Lytechinus pictus: one gene and its partner. The protein of the gene in region 2 purifies or fractionates together with the protein of the main gene of each other region. This does not show direct contact. Links are inferred from orthologs where the notes say so. Each region holds a gene or a part of one and is shown on either strand. Other genes may lie near its edges. The genes, in order: bridging integrator 3-like and dynamin-binding protein-like.

What was found.
Region 1: the proteins of dynamin-binding protein-like (region 2) and bridging integrator 3-like purify together in Homo sapiens (co-immunoprecipitation; 5 studies listed by BioGRID and IntAct, counting the BioPlex papers as one, with this or other methods). This does not show direct contact. The link is inferred for Lytechinus pictus from reciprocal best matches to the Homo sapiens genes DNMBP and BIN3.

Annotation. Positions count from the first base shown.
Region 1 is NC_087256.1:23,592,564-23,604,852, forward strand, and holds the start of bridging integrator 3-like, read right to left. Parts: upstream 6,386-12,289; 5' UTR 6,245-6,385; coding exon 6,237-6,244; intron 2,100-6,236; coding exon 2,042-2,099; intron 1,184-2,041; coding exon 1,143-1,183; intron 601-1,142; coding exon 405-600; intron 1-404. Other genes in the region: 2-aminoethanethiol dioxygenase-like, read left to right, coding at 6,627-7,397. UniProt on the Homo sapiens protein: Involved in cytokinesis and septation where it has a role in the localization of F-actin.
Region 2 is NC_087250.1:26,929,339-26,942,420, forward strand, and holds the start of dynamin-binding protein-like, read right to left. Parts: upstream 5,451-13,082; 5' UTR 5,437-5,450; coding exon 5,241-5,436; intron 2,575-5,240; coding exon 2,488-2,574; intron 1,360-2,487; coding exon 1,228-1,359; intron 127-1,227; coding exon 1-126. UniProt on the Homo sapiens protein: Plays a critical role as a guanine nucleotide exchange factor (GEF) for CDC42 in several intracellular processes associated with the actin and microtubule cytoskeleton.

The DNA of each region.
Region 1 (12,289 bases), on a different chromosome or scaffold from region 2:
ATTGTAGTCTAGCTGGCTTTCTATACATGTAGCTGTACATGTAATTGATTGGATCACGAACATCAATTTTCTCATCACAACAATATTTTATCCATCATGAGTTTCCTTTTACTGCCATCCTCATATTTCTCCCCCTTCTTCCACAGTTCTCACTACTATTGTCACTTTTATCGTTACTTTAAAACCACATCACCATCAAAATCATCATCACCAAATAACAGTATTACCAACAAGCCCCATTGCCTTCTTTACAAAGAGCTGTCAATGATCCAATCACTCTCAAAAATGGAAAGCCAGTGAAAGCATCATCATCAATTACGATGGAAGCTACAAAGGACCTTGCTGTCTTTCCATAGATGTAATTGATTGCATCACTTGCAGCAAGTCTGTGCAACCTCCCTTACCAGTTCATGTGTGAGTTCATCTATCTTGCTGATGGAAGCACTGATGCCCTCCAAGGAGTTGAGGTCGGATTCTGTGTTGAGGATGGGACTAGCAGCTAGGTTGTGAGCCACTCGACACTGGTGCTTAGACAGCGAGGTCATCGCTTCAATACACTTTCGCATATCCTTGTACAAGCGTTTGGTGGCTTCATCCAACCTATTCATTGATTGGAAGTAAAACAGCTAATTAGAATTTCTCATTGAAGGGATGACTCATCATTTGCTCAAGTGAGAATTGTTTCATTTTTAATCATTCTTCGGGTTGTGGAAGAGTTCTTTTATATGTAATTCAAAATAATGTCATGATTACTTGGAAGCATGAATAATTGTGTCGATTTTATAGCATGATGTGCTGATTTTCCACTAAAGCATCTATTGCTAGAGCAAATATCACCATCATCATCATCATCATCATCATCATCATCATCATCATCATCATCATCATCAACATCATCACCATCATCAACAGCATCATAATCATCATCCATCATCATCATCATCCATCATCATCATCATCATCATAATAATAATCATCATCAACATCATCAACATCATCAATCATCATTAATGCTATCATTCATGTATTTCCATGACAGTTTAGAAAACCACAACTCAGTGGCTCATAACATGAAAAAAGGTTTTTAAAAATAAAACAAACAAAAAGAAGCTTAGATATTCTTAAAACAATAGGATACTTACACTTCAATTTTATTCACTTCAGTTTCAAAATCCTTTTCCTCCTGCAAACAAAGGGAAGGGGATGAAAACAATGTAAACTTTTCATTTTTCACTGGAATCAAACTAGTCCTGAAAAGGGGCACAATGCACTCATGTATACCATAAACTGAACCTGATTTTCTGACGGTTAAACAAGATACATGAGGGCAAGAGGTCTACACTCTTCAAAGGGTTCATACACTTACACATTTCAAAATTCCCTGACTTTCCAGAGCAATAAATGTGAATTTCCATTATCATTTTGAGGCAAGAGCTCTACAACTGAAATAGGCACATGTTCTCATAATCCTCATGCTGAAAACATTGATATACACATATTTTGTAAGTGAAATATTGAGAAAGCAAGGAGTCACATTTAATCAGTGTGCATTTGTACTTCAGAGCTATCGATGCCAGTTGTGGTAACAATTTCAAAATGAGTTCAAACAGAATCCAATAAAATAACCACCCAAGTGCTTGTATACATATACAAAATAAGAAATAAGTGCCAAATGGCTCTTGAAAAAGGGTGTAATTGCTGAGAAATTAGCCAAATTAGCACATAATTCCATAAAATGTAAAAAAAATTCCATGCAATACTAATACACTCTCCCACACATGCCTTTTTGTGTTAATGATCATCCGAATTATCGGTTTCAACTAAGATTTCATGATTTCACAAAGTTATGTTTATTTCAATGTATATATCCTGATCTATGAAAACATGGTGACAACAATTTACCTTGATTTCAATGAATTTCTCATGAAATAATTGTGTGCTGCAACTTCTTTCTTTAACCTTTAACCATAAAGGGTTGACCCCTGTGTTGGGTACTAAAGAATTGAGTATGTATATATGGGTTTAATAGCAAGCGACTCACCTCTCTAGTTAGCACAGTCTTCTTTGGAGAAGCCCCAGTAAATCTACTGAAAAAGTTCCTGTATAAAACAGGGGAAAGAGGAAGAAAAGATTTAGGGGGTGTTGCAAGAAAATATTTGCCATCAATTGCAAATTTCAGATGGAAATTTACAAGTGATAGATCAATTTAAACTAAAGCAAATAAATTTATACTTGTTGATGCAAGAAGGAGATAATCAATTGATTGCAAATTTGCATGCATTTCAATTGATTTTGGGGCTTGCGATCAATTGCAAGTTTCTTGCAACACCCCACTAGACACATTAGCCCATATTCTGAAGTCAGGTTTAACTCAGACCATGGTCTAACTCTGACTGTGCTAAAATTATAGTGAGCCAAAAACTTTTTAAAAATTTTGCTAGTGTATATTTCTTAATATACTACTATTTTGTTTCTCTTTGCTTTCATTTCAGTTATCATTCTTAGACAGTTATACATGATTTGAGTGTCTTAAGACTTAATAAATTGAACATGTACTAAAAGAGATTTGTGCCCAATTGGCACTCCATAGTTAAAGGAGAATGAAACTCTTGGAGCAAGTTAGCTTTTGTGAAAGCAGAAAAATCAAAGAATAAGATCAACAAAAGTTTGAGTAAAATAGGACTAGCAATATAAGAGTTATGAGCATTTGAATGTCGAGATCACTAATGCTATGGAGATCCTCCCATTGGCAATGCGACCAAGATCAATGATGTCACAGATGAACAACTCTCCCCTTTTGGACACTGAAAATATACCCCAAAACATCTCTTTTTGCTCATTCTAATCATATGACAAACGATTCATCAATGATATAATATTGTGAAACCTCTGTACTTGTCCTCTCATAAAGAGAACACCTCACCTTGTGATAGACTCTATAAAAGTGAGAATATAAGTGAAATAAGTACTAAAGTAATGAGGGAGTTGTACGTGTGTGACATCACAGATCTTGGTCGCATTGCCAATGGGAGGATCTACATGGCATTAGTGATCTCGACATTCAAATGCTCATAACTTTCTTATTATTCATTCAATCTTCCTCAAACTTTCAACAATATGTTTCTTTGATTTTTCTCTTTGATATGGATTCAGCTGGTTTCAAGGGTTTCATTCTCCTTTAATTACAACTTTAAACCCGAGCTCAGAATGCAAGCCATTGTGTAGGATGAAAATGTTCATGACATTTGCTGGACAGCAACATTTCTTCCAGTAAGAAGTTTACTGAATCTAGAAGAAACTCAGACATCCAATTCTAATTAACACTAACAATAAATCCTCATCTTTACAGAACGTTAGATCTAACTACTCATCCTACATACAAAGTTATATTAATCTTTTACTCTACCCACTCATTCAATGACCAATATAACTTTGTTTTTTGTTAGGATTCCCTGTGGGGTGAAATAAGGTTGGTTGGCAATGTTTTGCTTATTTTCTCTTGTTCTTGGGGAAAAATGCTTAATTTTTTAAAAATGTCAGATCGATCGTGATCGCATGCAATGTTTTGAAATCAGCCGTGAATAATACGTGTGAGGAAAAAGATACTGGCCCAAACTCACCAATTTTGAGGATAACCGGAGGATGGACATAAAGTGAAATATGGGTGTAGAGTAAGATATTAAGTTATTCATCTTTCTCGTTTTTTTTTTTTTTTCTTTGATTTTTACGATGAACATGATTGTGACTCGGTATATCCGAACTGGCTCACCGTATCGATGTTCGGGTAGGTGGAGCGTAGTGAAGTGGAGCCTGCACGAACATCGCTCGAGGTAGTTAGGTATGCTTTGCTAGGCAGCATGATCGATCATCCATTCCCGTTCAACATAGTGTGGTAAAATGTACCACAGCCTGGGGCACGCGCGACTGCTCCCTTTATGTAGTACTGGGGGATGGGTTGGAGCAACTACATGTACCTCCTTGGTTGTGCATATATTCAACGAAGCTTAGTCTTAGATCTAGATCTAGCTCTAGTACACCCCCAGGGGGCGGGGTATTCGACCAAAAAAGTAGTAGGTCTGTGCCGCGGGCGAGACGAAAAAACGGGGGGCCTTGGAGCGGGCTTATTGTAAAAGGAGGGTCCTCGGAACGGGCTTCGGAACTACAAATGTTTGTGAAAACGGGGGTCCTTGGAACGGGTTGCCTGCCTGTGAGTGCGTATTCATCCCTATATATGGAACGGGCCTATACGTGCATGCTGCTAGCGCAGCTGCACGGGCGCCGGGTACCCTAGCGCAGAGGCGATGGTCGGACAGCGCTTTGCTGCCGCTTTTCACCAAAATTGCGGCTCACTGTAGCATATCAATACGGCTGGAACGGCGTAACGGAAAATATGCGAAGCTTTGGAGCAGATTTCTTTCTTCTTTTTCCTCGATAAGGAGAAAATGCTATGCCTATGCTTTGGAGCGGCTTTCTTTGTTCTTTTTCTCAATAAGACAAAAAAGGCATTATCGTGAAATTGGGAACCAGTTCCTAATTTCCAAAGGACACTTTTTCACGACAAGACATGACCTACCTACCTTTTCGAGCTTGTTCACTGCTTCACCGCAGCTGGCGCGCTGATTCTAGATAAAGTAATCCTTCAAAGAGCTTAGATCAGAAAGATTGATTTCGTCGCCGTCTTTTCTCTACTCGCTAAAATGGGAACCAGCGTGGAAAACTCCCCATAGAGTTGTACACACTGGTTCCCATTTTAGCGAGTAGAGTAAACTAGTTTAATCTACTCGCCAAAATGGGAACCAGCGTGGAAAATTCTCAATAGAGTTGTACACGCTGGTTCCCATTTCAGCGAGTAGATAAAGACAGATTACTAGTGATATTTATTTCGTTAGTGATGATTCTCTGACGAAATAAAGCTGATTAATAAACTGTCTTTATCTACTCGTGAAAATGGGAACCATTATAATTCAGAAGAATTTTCTTAGATGGTTCCCATTTTGAAGAGTAGATATAGAGAGAGAGAATGCCAATGAGATTTATTTCGTCAGTGATGATTCTGACGAAATAAATCTAACAAATTGTCTTTATCTACTCGTGAAAATGGGAACCAACATGTATAATTCATAATCATTTTCTTAGATGGTTCCAATTTTGGCGATTAGATTTAATAAACAACTTTACTCTACTCGCCAAAATGGGAACCAGCGCGTACAACTCTATGGAAAACTCCACATAGAGTTGTACACGCTGGTTCCCATTTCAGCGAGTAGATAAAGACAGATTACTAGTAATATTTATTTCGTTAGTGATGATTCTCTGACGAAATAAATCTGATTAATAAACTGTCTTTATCTACTCGTGAAAATGGGAACCAGCATTTATAATTCAGGAGAATTTTCTTAGATGGTTCCCATTTTGAAGAGTAGATATAGAGAGAGATTGCCAATGAGATTTATTTCGTCAGTGATGACTCTGACGAAATAAATTTCACTAGTAAACTGTCTTTATCTACTCGTGAAAATGGGAACCAGCTATGCTGGTTCCCATTTTCACGAGTAGATAATACAGTTTACTAAAGTGATTCATCCCCAGATATATCTTGTTTGTGATTTATTTAGTGAATCGATTTTGTAATATAAGTTTTTGTCAACATTGTGAAAGTGGCAGAGTGGTCTTGAAGAGCAGGGAAATGCGGGGTAGATGGATAATTACAAAGATTATAATTCCGCGGAATCGTCGAGGTCATCTGAAAACTTGTCCACCCATGGCAAACTGAGCCCGTTAAACATCGCATGAGGAAAGAGGTAACCAGTTGTGTGAGGAGCTTCGCATCGTAAACAAAGCCTCTCGCATCAGTTCTTTTCAAAATCGCCGAAGCGAAGATTCTTTACATATCGTGGTGAAAGGAGGACAAGTTCAATTTGGCTACCATGGCACTACCAGTTCCCAAAAGCACGGAATGGCCGACAAAAAATGCTATGCCTTGGAACGGAAATTTGAGTGTAAAAATGGGGGTCCCCTCCGCGACACATGCCCACTATGCATTATATACTGAGTGCCCCCCCCCCCCCCCCGGAGTACACCCACCCATCCGGGAGAGACATCCGGGAGTACACCCACCCATCAACACCCATTTTTCACTTCGGTCCCACATGATCAAAATCACGTAAGAAAACATCAACTAAATAACACTGCTCTAAAATGAAAAGAAAACATGAAATTTCAATATTTCTACTCACCAGCTCATAATGGTTAATACAGTAGACCTTATCAAACAGACACGATGTTCTATTTAGCTGGAAATATGAACAATTTATGTCGTTTTGGGGCAGCTAGTCCGTGACACTCCTTATTCACAAAAAAAAAATTATCGGACTATTGACAAAATTCATTCGATCCAATTTGATAGCGCTTTTAGTACTAGACAATAATTATCCCAAAATGTAGTTATTTCTTTGAAATTTTATCCAATAAGTCATTATAAAAATAAAAATCCGGTAAAATATTTTTTTTAAATTGAAAAAAGGGAATTTTCGAACAGAAATATATTTCTTCTAAATTGTAATTCTTATTTCACTGAGACTTAAATCGACATCTCCACCTTTGTTTTTGTTGCATTAAAACTAACGATGGCATCCCTACAAAAATTATCACGACAAGCTAGAGACATATTTCGCCTGTTTTTCAAGGACAGAAATATGAACAAAGATCATCTGAAAGCTCTACAAGAAACAATGTCAAACATTCGAGCTTCTGATCTGAACATCGACGCCAGCCGAGCTGTGATAGAACAAAAGAGACTGCCACCAAATCCAGCTGCTTTTGAGACGGCAGCTGGGGGAGACTCTCCCCACCGCGCCCCGGTAGGATACATGCACATCTTCGAGGATGGTGTTATGACAATGGGCGTGTTCATCATACGGGATGGGTGTCGCATCCCTCTGCATAACCATCCCGGAATGTATGGCCTCCTCAAAGTGCTCTATGGTGATATTTCCGTAAGGACATTCAACACCATCACCGAGGACTGGACTAAATTTCCAATGCCCAAGTTTGAAGGCTTTCCGGAAAACGAGCCTCCGAGAAAGCATTTGTTGGTTCCTACCCGACTGGGAACCGATCAGCGCTTCACACCATCTTCGGAAGCGGTGCTGCTAACCCCAAGAGAAGGGAACTACCACAGCTTAGAATCAGTGGGTGGACCTGCAGCCTTTCTAGACATACTTTCACCTCCCTACGACCCGGTCATTGGAAGAGACTGCTACTATTTCAAAGAATTAAAATCTTTGGAATCCTTTTCAGACTCTGATCCTGATTGGTTGATGTCTATCTCTCAGCCTCCTGACTTCTGGTGTGATGAAGTAGAATATCCTGGACCAGAAGTATTGATACCATCATGAAAACCATTTCAAAACTTTGTGTTTCATTATTAACTGGAGTGCATTTATCTCACCTGAAATCATGTATTATTTTATTGTGATTGTTACATTTAACATGTGAGAAATGTAAATGTACAATATATAACATCTCTTGGTCATGCCTTACAGATTGTTTAGTATGAAGAACTTGGTAATGTAGTTGATCTGATGCATGAAGGGTTCATTCATGACTGAATATCAATGAATAAAATATATGATTGTAAATCAAAATATTAAAAGTCCTCAAGAGGCAAGATACATACATACACACAACCATTGTGTTTATCTCCATCATCTTGAAGCAGCACTTGCTCTGGAAGAAGAAAAAGAAAATTAAATTGTAATGAAATGTAGAAAGCATGATCTTTCAGTAAAGTGTCCTCAATCATATTTCTCAAGTATTAGCCCTTCCAATGCAACTCATTTAAATGCACAATAAGTTTGTCTTGTCTACATTTTCATGATTGTGAGAAATATACCCTTTCACAAGTGCCCCTGTTGATGTAGGAGTTTGGCAAGTTTCTCTTAGATTTTGTTTTAAAACTCATAGGCCCGAATTCACAAAGGTGGACTAAAGTTATACCCGGTGTATAAAACGCGTCATTTGACGTCATTTTAATCCATGGACTAAAGTTAGCACCGGGGTATAACTCAGCCGTGGGTTAAATTTTACCCCAGGATTTAACCCCGGGTGCTAAAGTTAGTCCATGGATTAGTTAGTCCACCGTTTGTGAATAGCGCGGTGGACTAACTTTATACCCGGGTATTAGTTTACCCCGGGCTAAATTTAATCCCGGTATAACTTTAGCCGACCTTTGTGAATTCGGGCCATAGATTGTGTATTTGTGTGTTAATAAAATACATGTATAGAACCAACTCCCCCTTACAATTAGAATGGCTCAATCTGTACCTGTTTTCAAAACATTCTTGAAGACCCATCTGTGTAGGGAAGCATTAAAGTACATGTATGTCTGAATCATCCATTTTTGTGTGTACATGTAGTATATTGTATAAGCAATAGGAGTAACCAAAGTGCAACAGAGTATATTCATGTAGTTGCTGCGCTTAAAAATTTAATTTATCATATTATTTTACTTCATTACTGCCAGTTAATTAAGGAAGTTTTATTGGGAGAAGAATATTACCCAGTTCTTTTTTTAAGGTTACTTAGTAAATGTACTTATAACTGTGCTGCAAACCAAGAATTGCTTCATCGAGATCTACAGTGTAAATTTTATGCATTTTTTTTGTGAAAATACATTTACATGTACATATCATATAATAAAAGGGACTCAAAGTCATACCAAAAATACTTTTTATAATGATTTTCGAATTTCTTGGTGAAGAGGGTGAGACACAAAAATGGAGAGAGAAAGAGAGGGAGTAGCAGGAAAAAAGGAAAATTTAGTTGTTAAAGTATTTCTGATTGGAGAAATGTGATAGGTGTATATTCATAAAATGTTCGCGTTTATTATGTCTTGTTATGAAAATGTGAGTATATTGAAAGTGAATGTGATTCCATTTACTTTGAAAATGTGTTTTTATTGTTGATGCCATGTAGAGCATATTACATACAATGATTCGTGTTTATGTCATTCCAGATTTATATGCCGGTTTATATATTCCTTTATTCATGTTTTTTCTTAAAGAAAATTGTTATGCATGTTTTTATACTATACATGTTGTAAAATCGCATTGTGGATTTCCTATTAAACGAAAGAATAGAATCAAGCACTATTGCACATAGGCCTGCATATCATGTCCATTCTCAGTGTAATTCCTTACCCCTGTGACTTTTTTATTTATCCCTTTACGACCAGATGGCACGTTGCTGGAGGTTTTTAATTTGCTACCATTGCTATTATCATTTTGTTGCAGTGACATTTCAGTAAATTCGCCGGGTAAATGCTTTAAATGTATGCCATGCACAGATTCCAGATCACGAATACAGTGTGTAGATATACTAACTGAAGACTTTCGCGCAATTGGAAGACCTTCATTAAAAAAAAAAAACCACAGTTTGATGGAACCATAAAGGGGATACGTGAATGGCTATGGAATTAATAGGAAGTGTCATCTCCTAGCAGTGCCTAGATAGTAATAACTTTTGTTTGTGTGTAATTTCTTTTTTTTTCTGGGGGGGGGGGTGGGGCTGACACGCCATTTCTTGCTGAAGAAATCCCCTTGTTTTGCAAAGTGGAACCCCGGAGTGGAACAACCCCCCCCCCCCTCCTAGATATGTTCTCGACGTTGGAAAGAATAGACCGAATAAAAGACAGTGGGTCCTAAACCAAAAACAATCAAACGGAAGATGCGGAATATAGTCCCTCGGTAAAAGTCTTCAAGATGCAAATAGGCCATAGGGTTAGCCCGAGGGTTAGTAAGAAATGAAAGTGTCCTGAGATTTCTCGATGTCCATGTTCCACCCCAGTAGTCGACTTGGATACGGCCCGGGTTACACACATTTGTCGCGCCACGGGACAAGGGCCGCGGAACCAAATTGGGTGGGGAAAGGGGCTGTACTCCTACGTTATTTTCAGTACAGCAATGTTAAAAAATCGTGAAAGATGGCAGTCTGAAAGTTCAGCCCCCACATGTTATTCGTTCCGCGTACCCTGTGTGGGGGCGGGAGGGGGTGTCGCAGTGGGCGACTTTCCAACAATGATTTTTCAATAGTAAACAAAATAATGAGTAAGAAGGGGAAATAAAAGAGGGTTGTAGGAAAAACAATAAGAAGTAAAAGTTTGCCATGCCGTGATAAAACTAATTAATGAGTTCTCTTAATACCCCGGCACAGAGTAAATGTAGTTTCCGGCCTACCCCCTTCTTTGTCTTCTATCAAGTGTATAAATCAATCATTCGTTATCCCCTTCTCATCTAAGCACCGGGTATTGCTCCATTCTCAATGAGTGCCATTCTGAATTATCTGATGCCGACGAACTCCCGGTGCGAACTTATATTTATTCACTGTAAACAGGTATACCCTTTTTACACAGGATTTTCTTAACCCCGGACTATCGCTAACCCCGTACTATCCTTAACCCCGTACTATTTTTTTTCCTTTTCACACATGCCAAATTGTTATCGCTAACCCCGGATAAGGAATGCTTGCTTTTCACACACGAAACTCGCTAACCCCGGACTAGTGGTAGCTCATTCACTCGTACCTTTTTACACACGCTAAAATTTCCTTAACCCCGTACTATAGGTGGGGCTAAATTGCCATTTAGCCCCACCTATAGTACGGGGTTAAGCTTAGCCCACTTTCGTTTTACACTAGCGATCTTAACCCCGTACTATCGCTCTTAGCACCGCAATTGCTGGGATAACCCTGCTTTTTTGCAGGGCCAAATAATCCCGTACTAAAGGTGGGGTTAGCCCACTTTGCAAAAATGCTGTGTAAAAAGAAAGTGGGCTAAGCTTAACCCCGTACTATAGGTGGGGCTAAATGGCAATTTAGCCCCACCTATAGTACGGGGTTAAGGAAATTTTAGCGTGTGTAAAAAGGGTAGTAGACAAGACGAGAGGGCTAATTGAAGAAGATGAAATAACGCCCCCTCGTGGTAGATATAAAACAACGATCTTGAAACAAAAATTAATAATACCTTACGTCAACTCGATTTATAGTGAAAAACTCCCTTATTCTAATGATATTCTACGTTGAAATAAAAGTGGGATTTTTAAATAAAATTTTGGAATAGATTAAGATTTAGTATCATATATAAAACATATCTGAATAAACAAGCGCTTATCAATATACACCTAGTTGAGGCAGCCACCATGAGCATGATGAGAAAAGAATGCCACAAAACATCAATAAAGGCCTATATTTCACTTTGTAATAGCCACTCATGAGATATACTGAACATAATTATCATTTCTTGGTCGTGAATAACCGACAGATCATCATTTTCATGTGAGTACTTCATTGAATTAAAGGTGATGTCAGTTTTGTGTCATTTTGGATTGTTACATGACCCAGACCCCCCCCCCCCTCACCGACCACCCATTTCTTCCTTTCCCTCTTTTCTTCCGCTTTTCTTTTTTCTCTCTTTTATTCATTTTTGCTCTCTAACTATCTGGCAATCCATGAGAGCTGCACACCTCTGTCACCCCCTCCATAGCCTACATAGCATAGCGTCAGGTGGCCTTTAGATGTGCAGTGATTATTAATAATTATCATCAACAATACGCAATGCCAAGTCTATATAGAGCCATTCAAAGCCAACCTTAAGACATATCTATTCTCATCATATTTCAAATAACATCCTCTCCCCTTTGTAATTATTCCTTCTGCGCCTCTGAATAGGAAACTCGATAGACGGCGCACTCTAAATGCTTAAATAAATATATTCTTATGTCAGACAGAGTCATCAGAATAGTACATGACTGTTATCGTGTACACTGAATAGTCTTTAAATTGAATGCTCCTGTGTACATAAAACATGTATAACTATAACGCTAAAATCGAATGCTGCCCCCTCCCCGTATATATTTAGACTAAAATGTTGATTGTGAATTTAACTGTTTAGAATGGCTGAGGAATAATCAAATTTCGAAATTTGTTACACTTTAAGAAACCATTTGTTTATTAAAGATATAACTGCATACATTATGTATAAAGATATTTAAAAAAAAAAAAATCATATTTGAACCAAATTGGTAAGAACATCTGACACTGTGTGAATCAGTATTTTAAACCCAAAATTGTAAAACTTTAACATTACATAAGTGCGTAATACTATATGTTAGCCACATCACTCTTTATTGTATGGGCGGGGAAAATGGGGGCGGGTTGGAATAATGCAAAAACACATATAATATTTTGTCTTACAGATTCCAAATTCAAATTCATTTATTTCACATCTCTAAAA
Region 2 (13,082 bases):
CATTGATTCTTCCATTCAACCAATCATCATCAACCTTCCCTGTAATAGTGATGATGTCACCGATCATGAAGGTCAGTTCTTCACTGAGTTGTCCTGTAACATTCTGAGTGGCTCTTGCCTCGTATTCTGACAACAGGATAGGAAGGGAGGAAATATATCAGTTGTACAGTATACATGTATCATTGCTAACATATACATATATATCTATTTTATACTGACATAGTTTTGCACAATTTTTTTTTACCTGAATCTCTTCCAAAACCAATCTCAACTTGTTATTGGTCTCGATTTGTATAGCTTCCAGTACATAGAGTTACAAATTTTAATGTATGATAAAGTAAAACTTGTTCAAGTGACAGGTCTTTTAATAGGCAATAATAATACACTGTCCCACATGTGCTAATCTCTGTTGGCAATATCCAGTTTAAGAAAACTTCATTATTCATGAGTTCAGTTTGAGTATTAAAACTAACTAAACCTTCATATATGACGATACAGTCAAATCAACACTGATGTCTTTCTCATGAAAGAATTGCTTTCTGCAACAAAATGAGTTTAGTTATAAGAGATGTCTTTCATATTTCTCCCTTAAAGGACAAATCCACCCTGACAAAAAATTATTTGAATAAAGAGAGAAAAATCCAACAAGCATAACACTGAAAATTTCGTCAAAATTGGATGTAAAATAAGAAAGGTATGACATTTTAAATTTCGCTTAATTTCACAAAACAGTTACATGTATATGCACATCCTGGTCGCTATGCAAATGAGGCGACTGATGACGTCATCTACTCACTATTTCTTTTGTATTTTATTATGAGATTATAATTTTCTCCTCATTGTCAAGTGAAACAATGATTAAAGCCTCCCTGAACATGTGGAATTAGCATTGTTTAATACCATATGGTTCAGTAAAGTCAGTCTCTATGGTCAAATCTGTAAAAAAAATGAAATATTGTATAATTCAAACAATAAAAAACAAAAGAAATGGTGAGTGATGGACATCATTGACTGACTCATTTGCATGTTGCTGAGTTGTGCATATCACTGTTTTGTGAAAATAAGCGAAACTTCAAAGTGCCATAACTTTCTTATTTTACATCAGATTTTGATGAAATTTTCAGTGTTATGCTAGTTTGATCTTTCTCTACTTATTCAAATCAAAATTTTGCGGGGGTGGACTTGACCTTTAATGAAAAGCAATTTGATGAGAGGAGATAGACGTACCTTGTATTGCTGGTTGGTTAGTGTGAGAGATGTCCTTACTCACGTAACTGACTGGAAATATCCCTGATCTACCACCTAATGATCCTTCCAACCAATGCTCATCTATCTGATGTGAAACACTTATTACCTCACCTATACAAAAAAAAAATCATTGCATTATCACTATGGCCCGAATTCACATAGGTGATTTTGAAAACCCGCGGTTGAGTCCATGATTTATGCAGATTTCCTGTATAAAGTACATGTACGCTTATTTTACCGCGTACATTAAAAAATTCCAATGCTGATGCGCGCTTTTGTCAGTGCGCCAAATTGATGCCTGATGCCGTGGTTATCCACGCTACTTTATTCACGAGTCCACTGTTTGAATTAATGAGTCCACTCTTCAAACAGTTGACTCATGAATAAAATAGCGTATCCAACCATGGTAACAGGCGTCAATTTGGCGCACTGTGACAAAAGCGTGCATCAGCATTGGACACTTGTTATACACGCGCCCGATACGCGCTAAAGTAAGCGTAATTTATACAGGAACTCTGCATAAACCAAGGATTCAACCGTGGGTTTTCAAAACCACCTTTGTGAATTCAGACCTATGTGGGGGCGTTGTGGTCTAGTGGTTAGGACTCTCGTTTCTCGATCTGAGGTTTGTGGGTTTGAATCCCAGCCATGGCGTGCTTTCCTTCAGCAACAATTAACCCACTTTGTGCTGCACTCAACCCAGGTGAGGTGAATGGATACCAGGCAGGATTAATTCCTTGAAATGGACTGAGCGCTGAAAGGCTGCTTGAGCTAAAGCCGGGGTAATAATAATAGTAACAATGCACCTCAGAATAGATTATTTCTCAATGGATGGCTCAATATGAATGCCAATTATTATTATTATCACTATTATTATCATTATTACACATGTATGCTAAAAACTGGCAACATTGCGAAAATCTAATCATTAATAAATGAAAAATCACCAATTTTCAATCATCAATCATCATTCAAAGCCTTTTGACAAGTCCTCATGACTTGGTTTTATTCCTTGGTTAAGACTAACAGTACATGTACATGTAGTCTGCCGAAGCGACACCGATATATACAAGTATACGTATATCGGTGTCGACTCGGCAGACCCAGTACCCAATAGGGTTTACATTGTTCAGACTATGCCTCATGAAATTTCATGGCAACGCAAGATAGTGTAATATTGAGATTTATAACCCTCCCCCATAATCAAGCAAAAATAATATTTCTACTAATTAATTTCACCTGTTTTGAAGCAGAGATCGCCCTCTGTGCTGCTCTCATAATCCTGTACTGCTGTGACTTGATATGAAGTGGATTTCTTCTCTGATACTGCACATATAAATATAAATGAACAAAAAATAAAAGCAAGTCCTTTAAAATAAGAATCAATAGCAGGGTGCTACATAACTTTTTAGATGAACTTGGCCTGTTGGGCAAGTAAATGTGTAAATAGTTGGAATATACTTGCCTGAAAATCTATTTCATTTGCCCAAAAAAATCCTTGAAAAAAGTTTTACTTCTTCAAAAGAAAATATTATGGTCCTAGAAACCATTGACCTTTTTTTCTCTTTTGACATGAACTGATGTACCTTGTTCTTGCAAAAAAAATTTACTTTTTTTTCTCTTTTGACATGAACTGATGTACCTTGTTCTTGCATTTCTTTTTAAAAAGTGATTTCATCTTGCCCGCCATGACCAAATTTAGGGTCGGTATATCATATTGACCCTAATTTTGGTAATTCTACTGTGAGAATTTTGCTTGCCCAATTCGGGCAAGTAGTTTTGGTCTTTACTTCAAAACACTTGCCCGACTATAACTTTTACTTGCCCCGGGCAAGTGCTTATGTAACACCCTGAATAGTATTCATTTTTGTAGAGCCATTTTAACTTTGAATGCTAACAGTGCTTTAATTATAAAAGTTGTTTACTTTTCACTCTACCTGCATAAGAATGAAAATTAGGTGACTCTTTTTAATAGAGCTATATGATCTCGGTTATGATCTCGGTTATGATCTCGGTTATGATCTCGGTTATGATCTCGGTTATGATCTCCGTCTTGATGAAGCCAAGATCCATGGTGATAAAACCAATTCAGGTCATTTTAAACGATAGATTGAATCTCTCCAGATCAAAATCAATATACAATTAATATACATATACAGAAATGACAATTAACATGTTATATATTAAATTAAAAAACAGAAATCACAAAAAAGTATATAAACAAGTGGAATGCCTCTGGCAGTCTCGCCTGCATTACGCAATTTAATATAGCAGCAGTGCTAACTTTGAAAATTACTATAAAATAATCATTCACAAAAACATCATTCATATAATGACATAATACCACGTTCATTGACCATAAATGACATTTGAACGGAGACTTAAGACTGTCAACTACACCCATGTCCACATTTCATTCACTCTATCCAAAGTTTCAAAGTTATGATGGCACTTCAACAATTACCCCAACATGGCCTAAGTTTATTGACCTTAACTGACCTTTGACTTGGTTTTGTGACCTGAAACTCACAGGGGATATTCAGTGGTACTTGATTAACCTAATGTCCAAGTTTCATGAACTAAATCCATAAATTATCAAAGTTATGATGGTAATTCAACAAATACCCCCAACTTGGCCAAAGTTCATTGACCCTAAATTACCTTTGACCTTGGTCATGTGACCTGAAACTCAGGCAGGATGTTCACTAATACTTGATTAACCTTATGTCCAAGTTTCATGGACTAGATCCATAAATTTTCAAAGTTATGATAGTAATTCAACAAATACCCTCAACTTGACCAAAGTTCATTGACCCTAAATGACCTTTGACCTTGGTCACGTGACCTGAAACTCGAGCAGGATGTTCACTAATACTTGATTAACATTATGCCTAAGTTTCATGAACTAGGTCCATATACTTTTTAAGTTATGATGTCATTTCAAAAACTTAACCTTAGGTTAAGATTTGATGTTGACGCCGCCGCCGGCGCCGCCGTCGGAAAAGCGGCGCCTATAGTCTTGCTCTGCTATGCAGGCGAGACAAAAACCAGAAAAATATTTGTACGGTGTAAATCCTAGTAAATTAAAATAAAATAATGATTATATCATTGAATCAAAAAGTAAAAAGGGTCTTATGTACACACAACAGTGACAACACCACCACCCACCCACCCCCACCCCCCCCCATAAAAAGAAAAACATCTTCCTTACGGCCCTTTACGGGGAGTCTTAAAGGTGTGTCATGACAAAGAATCTTCAGATTTTCACAACCTACTGGATAAGCTTAACTTAGCAATGAATTGACATTTCTCAGGGCCCCATTTTTAGTTTCCAAGGATCTTTTGACAATTTCTTTTTTTTGGAGGGGAGGGGCAAAATTGCCCCCAGCCCATGTAGTTTTCCCCCAGCCCGTGTAGTTTTCCCCCTGGACTGCAAATAGCAAATTTGAAAGGGTGGGGGAGGGAAGATAATAATTTTCATAATGTACATGTATACCAATATCAATAATATGTAAATTCAATTGGAATTTCTAAAAATATATCAGGGGCGTTGATACCATGTGCCCCCATCTTGAGATAATGACAATCCAGGATTTTGAAATACATGAAGAGTTGGGGGGGGGGGGGCAATAGCAAATTTGAAAATGGAGGGGGCAAAGATGACAATTTTTGTAATGAGTACCAAAATTGACATCTAAATTCCATGGGCAATTCTCAAAATATATATAGGCGGCATGCACCACTTGTGCCTCCGCCAAAGACTGCCACTAAATATTGACAGTAATTTAAGATGATGATGATGATGATGATAATGATGGTGGTGGTGATGATGATGATGGTGATGACGATGGTGGTGGTGATGACGATGATGGTGGTGATGACGATGATGATGATGATGATGATGATGGTGGTGGTGATGATGGTGATGATGATGGTGCTGATGATGATGACAATGATGATACTGATGATGAGGTTATGATGATAAAACTCACCGTTTGAGCTTGCTTCATCAACAGGCTTGACAAAGTTAGCAGGGAAGGTACCAGTCTTTCCATTACATGTCCCAGCTATCCAGTTCTCATTGATTCTCGACGTAATATCAACCTCATCTCCCGCTTTCAACGCCAACTCTCCGGGCTCCGTCGTCTCAAAATCAAAGATGGCCACCACTCGCGAGCCCACCTCCATGATGGTCGCTATGGCACCTACAACAAAATAAAGAGAATAAAGGTTTTATATAGGGGTATCCTGGTCTAGTGGTTATGACTCATCTTGGATCTGAGGGACGTGGGTTCTATTCCAACCCATGGTGTGTTTTCCTTCAGCAAGAAATTTATCCACATTGTGTTGCACTGAACACAGGCGAGGTGAATGGGTACCTGATAGAAATTTATTTCTTCAAATGCAGAGTGTGTATCTAGACAGCTGCTCTAGTAAAATAAAAATGAGGATAATTATACTGCATTACTGCAAAGCACCGAGAGATTTCTGATAAAGAAAGTGTTATTGTTAAGCACAATATGAGCAAAAAAATATTATTGTTATTATGTATATAAACTATACTCAAAGTGAATCATTCTGGTTTGATCATAACCATTTGAAGGACAATGTAAACTAAGAGAGTGCATGTCCTATAATAAACTGTGTCCCTGACATTCCCCTGACGATAATAAATTAATAAAGATTATCTAGACCCTAATGTAGGATTAGTGTTTACAGTGCAATATAGCCAAGGCAAGGGGGAAGTTCTCCCCTCTCCCACAAAAACAAAAGAGCACAAATAGCCCTGTATCCCCCAACAAAAATAATACACAAATAAATAAATAAATACATATATAAACATGTAAATAAATAAAACAAATGTAAAAATGACGATAATGATGTTTAAGCAAATACATTGTGAGAAAAAAATCAAGAAAATGAATAAAAAAATAATAATGTAAATGTTTACTATTATTTGATAGAGAGTTATACCCCTTTTATAAACCCAATTATGCGGCTAATAGCAGCATAATTTGGTCGTAAAATCGGAGGAGGACCAGAGTTATCCGCATTATTTTGATGCTGCAATTATCCGCATAATAGCGGCATCGGGACCAGATTTTGAATTTATGAACGCATTTTCAAATAATGCGGATAATTGCCATGGTGCGGTCATAAGGTCACCCTTTTCCAACACAACCGCATCGGAGGGCGCGTGTGCAGTTGTCATGACGATTATCCGCCTTTTTCAGGACGGGCGCTCGTAAAAATAGTGCGGATTATTTTCGGAGTTTGTGAACGCAATTCTTATTGAATTATCCGCATTACTATTAGGCGGCTAATTGGAGGATGGGTTTATGAAAGGGGTATTAGAGGAAAGTTTTGACAAGGAATTATTTTTTCAACTAAAAAGACATGCTGACTTCAACTCGATCCTGCTTAGAAACCTTTATTAAACATGAAAGTGACAATTAGAATCAGATGACACTTGGCTATCACATGTCTTATAAACACACAGGAAATTGTAATCAAGCAATTAACTTGGATTAACACTCAACCTTACATAGCATACTGTATAATATAATCAATGAAATGTGAAATAATCATATACATGTACAGTAAATACATACTGTACATGTAGGTATTTAAGTTCATATTAGAATGTTCCTGTGTGATATGATTGCAAATAAGCATGATCTCTATGTGTACTCAGTAATTCAATACTGCTCTAGTGCTAATCCAATTTGGAAACCTACCAGATACAAACATGTAGCCTATGTAGCACTTGATCACATATAGCCAATTTATAATTCGTTTGTGGTAGCCTAAATGTATTCCTAACAAAATTATTGCTCTCATTACCACTACACAATATACTTGTTCATCATTCATTTTCTATTCGTCCTATTTATGATTATCACCTCAGGTTTTCACATATAATAGGCCTGTACAAGTATGTCGAAATAGAATGTGATTAATTTCGAGATGTCGTCATTTTCACGTCACCAACACTCCCTTCACCCTTGCCATCTACACACAGTTCATATGTATTCACTCTTCTCTTTAGCTCACCCACCCCTCCCTCCCTCCCTCCCTCACCAACCCTAACCACTGTCCCTCCTTCCATCCCTCCCTCTCTCCCATCTTTCACTTACTACCTCCCTTACCCACCCCACCCTCGCTCCCTCCACTCACCCACCCCTCCCTCCCTCCCTCACAACCCTAACCACTGTCCCTTCATCCCTCCCTCGCTCCCATCTCTCACTTACTACCTCCCTTTAATACCCACCCCACCCTCGCTCCCTCCTCTCACCCACCCCTCCCTCCCTCCCTCACCAACCCTCACAACTGTCCCTTCATCCCTCCCTCGCTCCCATCTCTCACTTACTACCTCCCTTTAATACCCACCCCACCCTCGCTCCCTCCTCTCACCCACCCCTCCCTCCCTCCCTCACCAACCCTCACAACTGTCCCTTCATCCCTCCCTCGCTCCCATCTCTCACTTACTACCTCCCTTTAATACCCACCCCACCCTCGCTCCCTCCTCTCACCCACCCCTCCCTCCCTCCCTCACCAACCCTCACAACTGTCCCTTCATCCCTCCCTCGCTCCCATCTCTCACTTACTACCTCCCTTTAATACCCACCCCACCCTCGCTCCCTCCTCTCACCCACCCCTCCCTCCCTCCCTCACCAACCCTCACAACTGTCCCTTCATCCCTCCCTCGCTCCCATCTCTCACTTACTACCTCCCTTTAATACCCACCCCACCCTCGCTCCCTCCTCTCACCCACCCCTCCCTCCCTCCCTCACCAACCCTAACCACTGTCCCTTCATCCCTCCCTCGCTCCCATCTCTCACTTACTACCTCCCTTTAATACCCACCCCACCCTCGCTCCCTCCTCTCACCCACCCCTCCCTCCCTCCCTCACCAACCCTCACAACTGTCCCTTCATCCCTCCCTCGCTCCCATCTCTCACTTACTACCTCCCTTTAATACCCACCCCATCCTCGCTCCCTCCTCTCACCCACCCCTCCCTCCCTCCCTCCCTCACCAACCCTAACCACTGTCCCTTCATCCCTCCCTCGCTCCCATCTCTCACTTACTACCTCCCTTTAATACCCACCCCACCCTCGCTCCCTCCTCTCACCCACCCCTCCCTCCCTCCCTCACCAACCCTCACAACTGTCCCTTCATCCCTCCCTCGCTCCCATCTCTCACTTACTTCCTCCCTTACCCACCCCACCCTCGCTCCCTCCTCTCACCCACCCCTCCCTCCCTCCCTCACCAACCCTCACAACTGTCCCTTCATCCCTCCCTCGCTCCCATCTCTCACCCTCCCCTCCCTTCATCCCTCCCTCCCTCCTTCCCTCACCCACCAACCCACCCACCCCTCCATTCCACCTTCCCTCACCCACCCCTCCCTCCTCACACCCTCCCCCCCCTTCATCCCTCACCCACCCCTCCCTCCATCCCTTCCTCCATTCCTCCCTCCCTTGCCCACCCCACCCACCCCTCCCTCCATCACTCCCTCACCTACCCTTACCACTGTCCCTCCTTCCATCCCTCCCTCCCTCAATCACTCCCTCACCCAGCCTCTATCCCTCCATCCCTCCCTCTCTCCCTATCCATCCCTCCCTCTATCACAATATATGCATGCAGGATATTAGTCTTTATTGATTAGTTGAGCCCCTGAATGAGATTAGATCCAACGATCATCCCTCACTGCTTTAATATACAACCCAGCTACAGTGAATCATCTCTCACTATAATGTCCTCCAAGGGGTTGTTCAGATGCACAGATCATCCCTCATAAAAATGTATCTTGTCCTCAAAGGGTTGTTCACATGAACAGGTCAACCCTCCTGATTATGTATCTTTTCCTCAAGTGGTTGTTCACATGAACAGATTAACCCTTTCTATGATATATCCGAGTTCAAAGGGGTCATTCACATTTGACCATCAATTATGATAAATTGATAATGTATTCAGTCATCAGAGGGGTTGTTCACATACATGTACATATAATTCCTTTCACCCTTTGTATGATAATGTATCTTTTGTTCACACGGGTTGTTCACATAGAGTAGATCATCCATTATAAAGATCCAGACCAGAGCTAAAAGTGACATTGACAAATGTGAAAAGGCTACATAGTACAGCAATGTTTTAAAGTTGCATATTCACTCCTTGACAGCTGAGTACTTTGCCTCAATAAAATGACGTCACACTGCATCAGGAGGGTTGTGATTCCATGGACCTACTGTGATTCCAATGCTTTGTAGAAATCTAAAGGATTACAAATTATTTCCAAATTATGAAGTGGATTTTTTCGTCATTTTACAGAGGAAAAAGGGCACCGACAATTAGGCTACATTCAGCGCTCAAATGGATGGAAACCCGAAACGTCACTTATTCATTATTTTTATCATTGTTATTTGCACTGTACTAATTACTAATCATACCTTTATGAAACATATGTACACGTTCATCGTTATCAAACCAATCATCGAAATCATCATCAGTATCAATTCATCACTATACGTACAAGATATTAACAACTATTTTGCATTATTTTCTAATTCATTTATCATGGAAATGTCTCTCTTTTTTTGTAAAAGGTATAAATGTACAATTGAACTGGGAAGTTTCATTTCATACTAAACTGGTTTCACTGTATTACAGTACATCAAGCCATAGCATTCATCAGTACACACGTGCAGTGGATGAAGCCCCTATAAGCTCCATGGCTATCTCTACATGCTCACCATAAATGTATATTGATTGATTCATTCGTCCAGTGCCGCATTCAGTTTGCATACAAACAGTTTTCTCTACTGCTTCTAATAACGCCTGGCTAATCCAATGCGCTAGCCTGGCCACTTGTAGAGGTCAAATACATGTGTATTAAACACACTGAGCAGGGAAGGAATGTACTCCCTTTCACTGAGGAAAGGATTAAACAATGATTCACATAATGTACAAAGTTATGACATGTACACAGTAAAATTGAAAAAAAAAATGCTTTGAATTATCAATACTTATATATATTGCCCAATATCTATACATATATGTAATTTAATATTTCATATATTTGAAATGTACATGATATTTTACTTTTAAACCAGCTAGAGATTTAGTTTGTATTCATTTTATGTTATCTCATTCTTTCTTCCATACCCTGTACTTCTAATAATAGAAAAAAGACAGTATATCTCCACTTTGTGCAGATTAGTATGCTTTATAAAAAAAATCATCAATTATTATTCTGTGAATAATTCTGTGTGTACCTGTATACGTATAATGATCAAATCCTATATTGTATTCAAAAGGGGTGGGGGGGGGGGGGTAGTGACTAGTGACCAACGCTACATGTAGGTCCCCACTTTAATAGTGTGATGTCTTTAATCGTGTACATGTAAACCAAAGGAACAAATCAAATGGTTTCTCTTTAGCAATGTTTTTTTATATTCTGTTTGAAATGTTTCACGTTGACTCGTGTATCATTTGTTAAACACGGAATTGTTGAAAACAATGTGTTCAAACTAAACAATGAAACGACCCTGTATATATATATTAACAATAATACATTTCAGTATTAAAATCATTTGTCATTCAATTTCAATCTATTAAAAATTACAGATTGGGGATAAGTTTCACTCAAGTTTCCTAATGAATGCAAAATGTAAAATACACTGTGCACAATTTCATTTTGTGGCCCAGTGAATTAGTCTTCTGACTTTGAAACAGAGGGTCGTGGGTTCGAATCCCAGCCAAGGCATAATTTCCTTCAGCAAGAAATTTATCCACATTGTGCTGCACTCAACCCAGGTGAGGTGAATGTGTACATGTACATGGCAATGATGGCAGGATTAATTCCTTGAATGCACTGAGTGCTGAAAGGCAGCTCAAGCTATTAAAAGCTGGGGTAAAAATAATAAACAATGCACCTCGGAATAGATTATTTCTAGATAGATGGTGCAATATGTAAATGCCTATAAATATTATTATTGTTACTCAAGAAAGAGGGCATCCATACATGTAGCCTGTCATTATTGAAGCTTTCAATTTATCTTTGGTGCATTAATCGTTAATGACTGTATCTCAATAAGCATGATGAAAAAAAAATCACGGGTAAAATGATACATGGCAACTTTTAATTAACTTCTTTCCCCATGTCTTATCATGTTATAATGTATAATGTTTTTTTTTCTTTTCAAAGTGTTAAAAATGAATCTGTATGGTTACCAATTTGAGGATCAAAAGCTAATAATGCTATGGAAGCTGGTACAGATTAATGAATGAAGAAAACATTCATTCCACCAGGGAGTCTAAAGATAAAAAATGTCATTGGTCCATTTAAATTACTAGCCTTAGAATTGAGCTACAATGTACTCTCAAATGTTAACATAAAAAAAATCCATGGCTTGAAGTTCAAGGTTCCAAAATTTGGTACCTTTATAATTGTACCTTTTTATCATATAAACTCATATATATTTATTCATGATAAGCATGAAAATTTATGTAGAAAGCTATTAACAATTGATGCCAATTTGAGGATTATAGGCAAGAAGACATTCATCCCATTAAAGAGCCTCTTGATAAAGCTGTGAAATTAAATTGTCGTTGATCCATCAATTTACATGCTTCACCACCCTATAGATGGTCAACCCATCAATCATTCACGATGCAATCAATGTATATGCCTCACCACCCTATAGATGGTCAACCCATCAATCATTCACGATGCAATCAATTTATATGCCTCACCACCCTATAGATGGTCAACCCATCAATCATTCACGATGCAATCAATTTATATGCCTCACCACCCTATAGATGGTCAACCCATCAATCATTCACGATGCAATCAATTTATATGCCTCACCACCCTATAGATGGTCAACCCATCAATCATTCACGATGCAATCAATTTATATGCCTCACCACCCTATAGATGGTCAACCCATCAATCATTCACGATGCAATCAATTTATATGCCTCACCACCCTATAGATGGTCAACCCATCAATCATTCACGATGCAATCAATTTATATGCCTCACCACCCTATAGATGGTCAACCCATCAATCATTCACGATGCAATCAATTTATATGCCTCACCACCCTATAGATGGTCAACCCATCAATCATTCACGATGCAATCAATGTATACGCCTCACCACCCTATAGATGGTCAACCCATCAATCATTCACGATGCAATCAATGTATATGCCTCACCACCCTATAGATTGTCAACCCATCAATCATTCACGATGCAATCAATTTATATGCCTCACCACCCTATAGATGGTCAACCCATCAATCATTCACGATGCAATCAATGTATATGCCTCACCACCCTATAGATGGTCAACCCATCAATCATTCACGATGCAATCAATTTATATGCCTCACCACCCTATAGATGGTCAACCCATCAATCATTCACGATGCAATCAATGTATATGCCTCACCACCCTATAGATGGTCAACCCATCAATCATTCACGATGCAATCAATGTATATGCCTCACCACCCTATAGATGGTCAACCCATCAATCATTCACGATGCAATCAATTCATATGCCTCACCACCCTATAGATCAGGGGTTCTCAAACTACGGCCCGCGGGCCGGATCCGGCCCGTGGAGCTTCTCAATCCGGCCCGCGAGACTCTGGATTTTTCAATCACTTTTAAGTCACACTATGAAACATAGCTCAATATGATTACATCGTGTATCCATGTCGACCTAACCGTATAATGGCAGTCAAATTAAAAGTTTAGTGGAGTCTTTTCTGTCTGTTCGATCTACTTTCTTATTAGTTGACCAGCGCTGTTCTCACCATG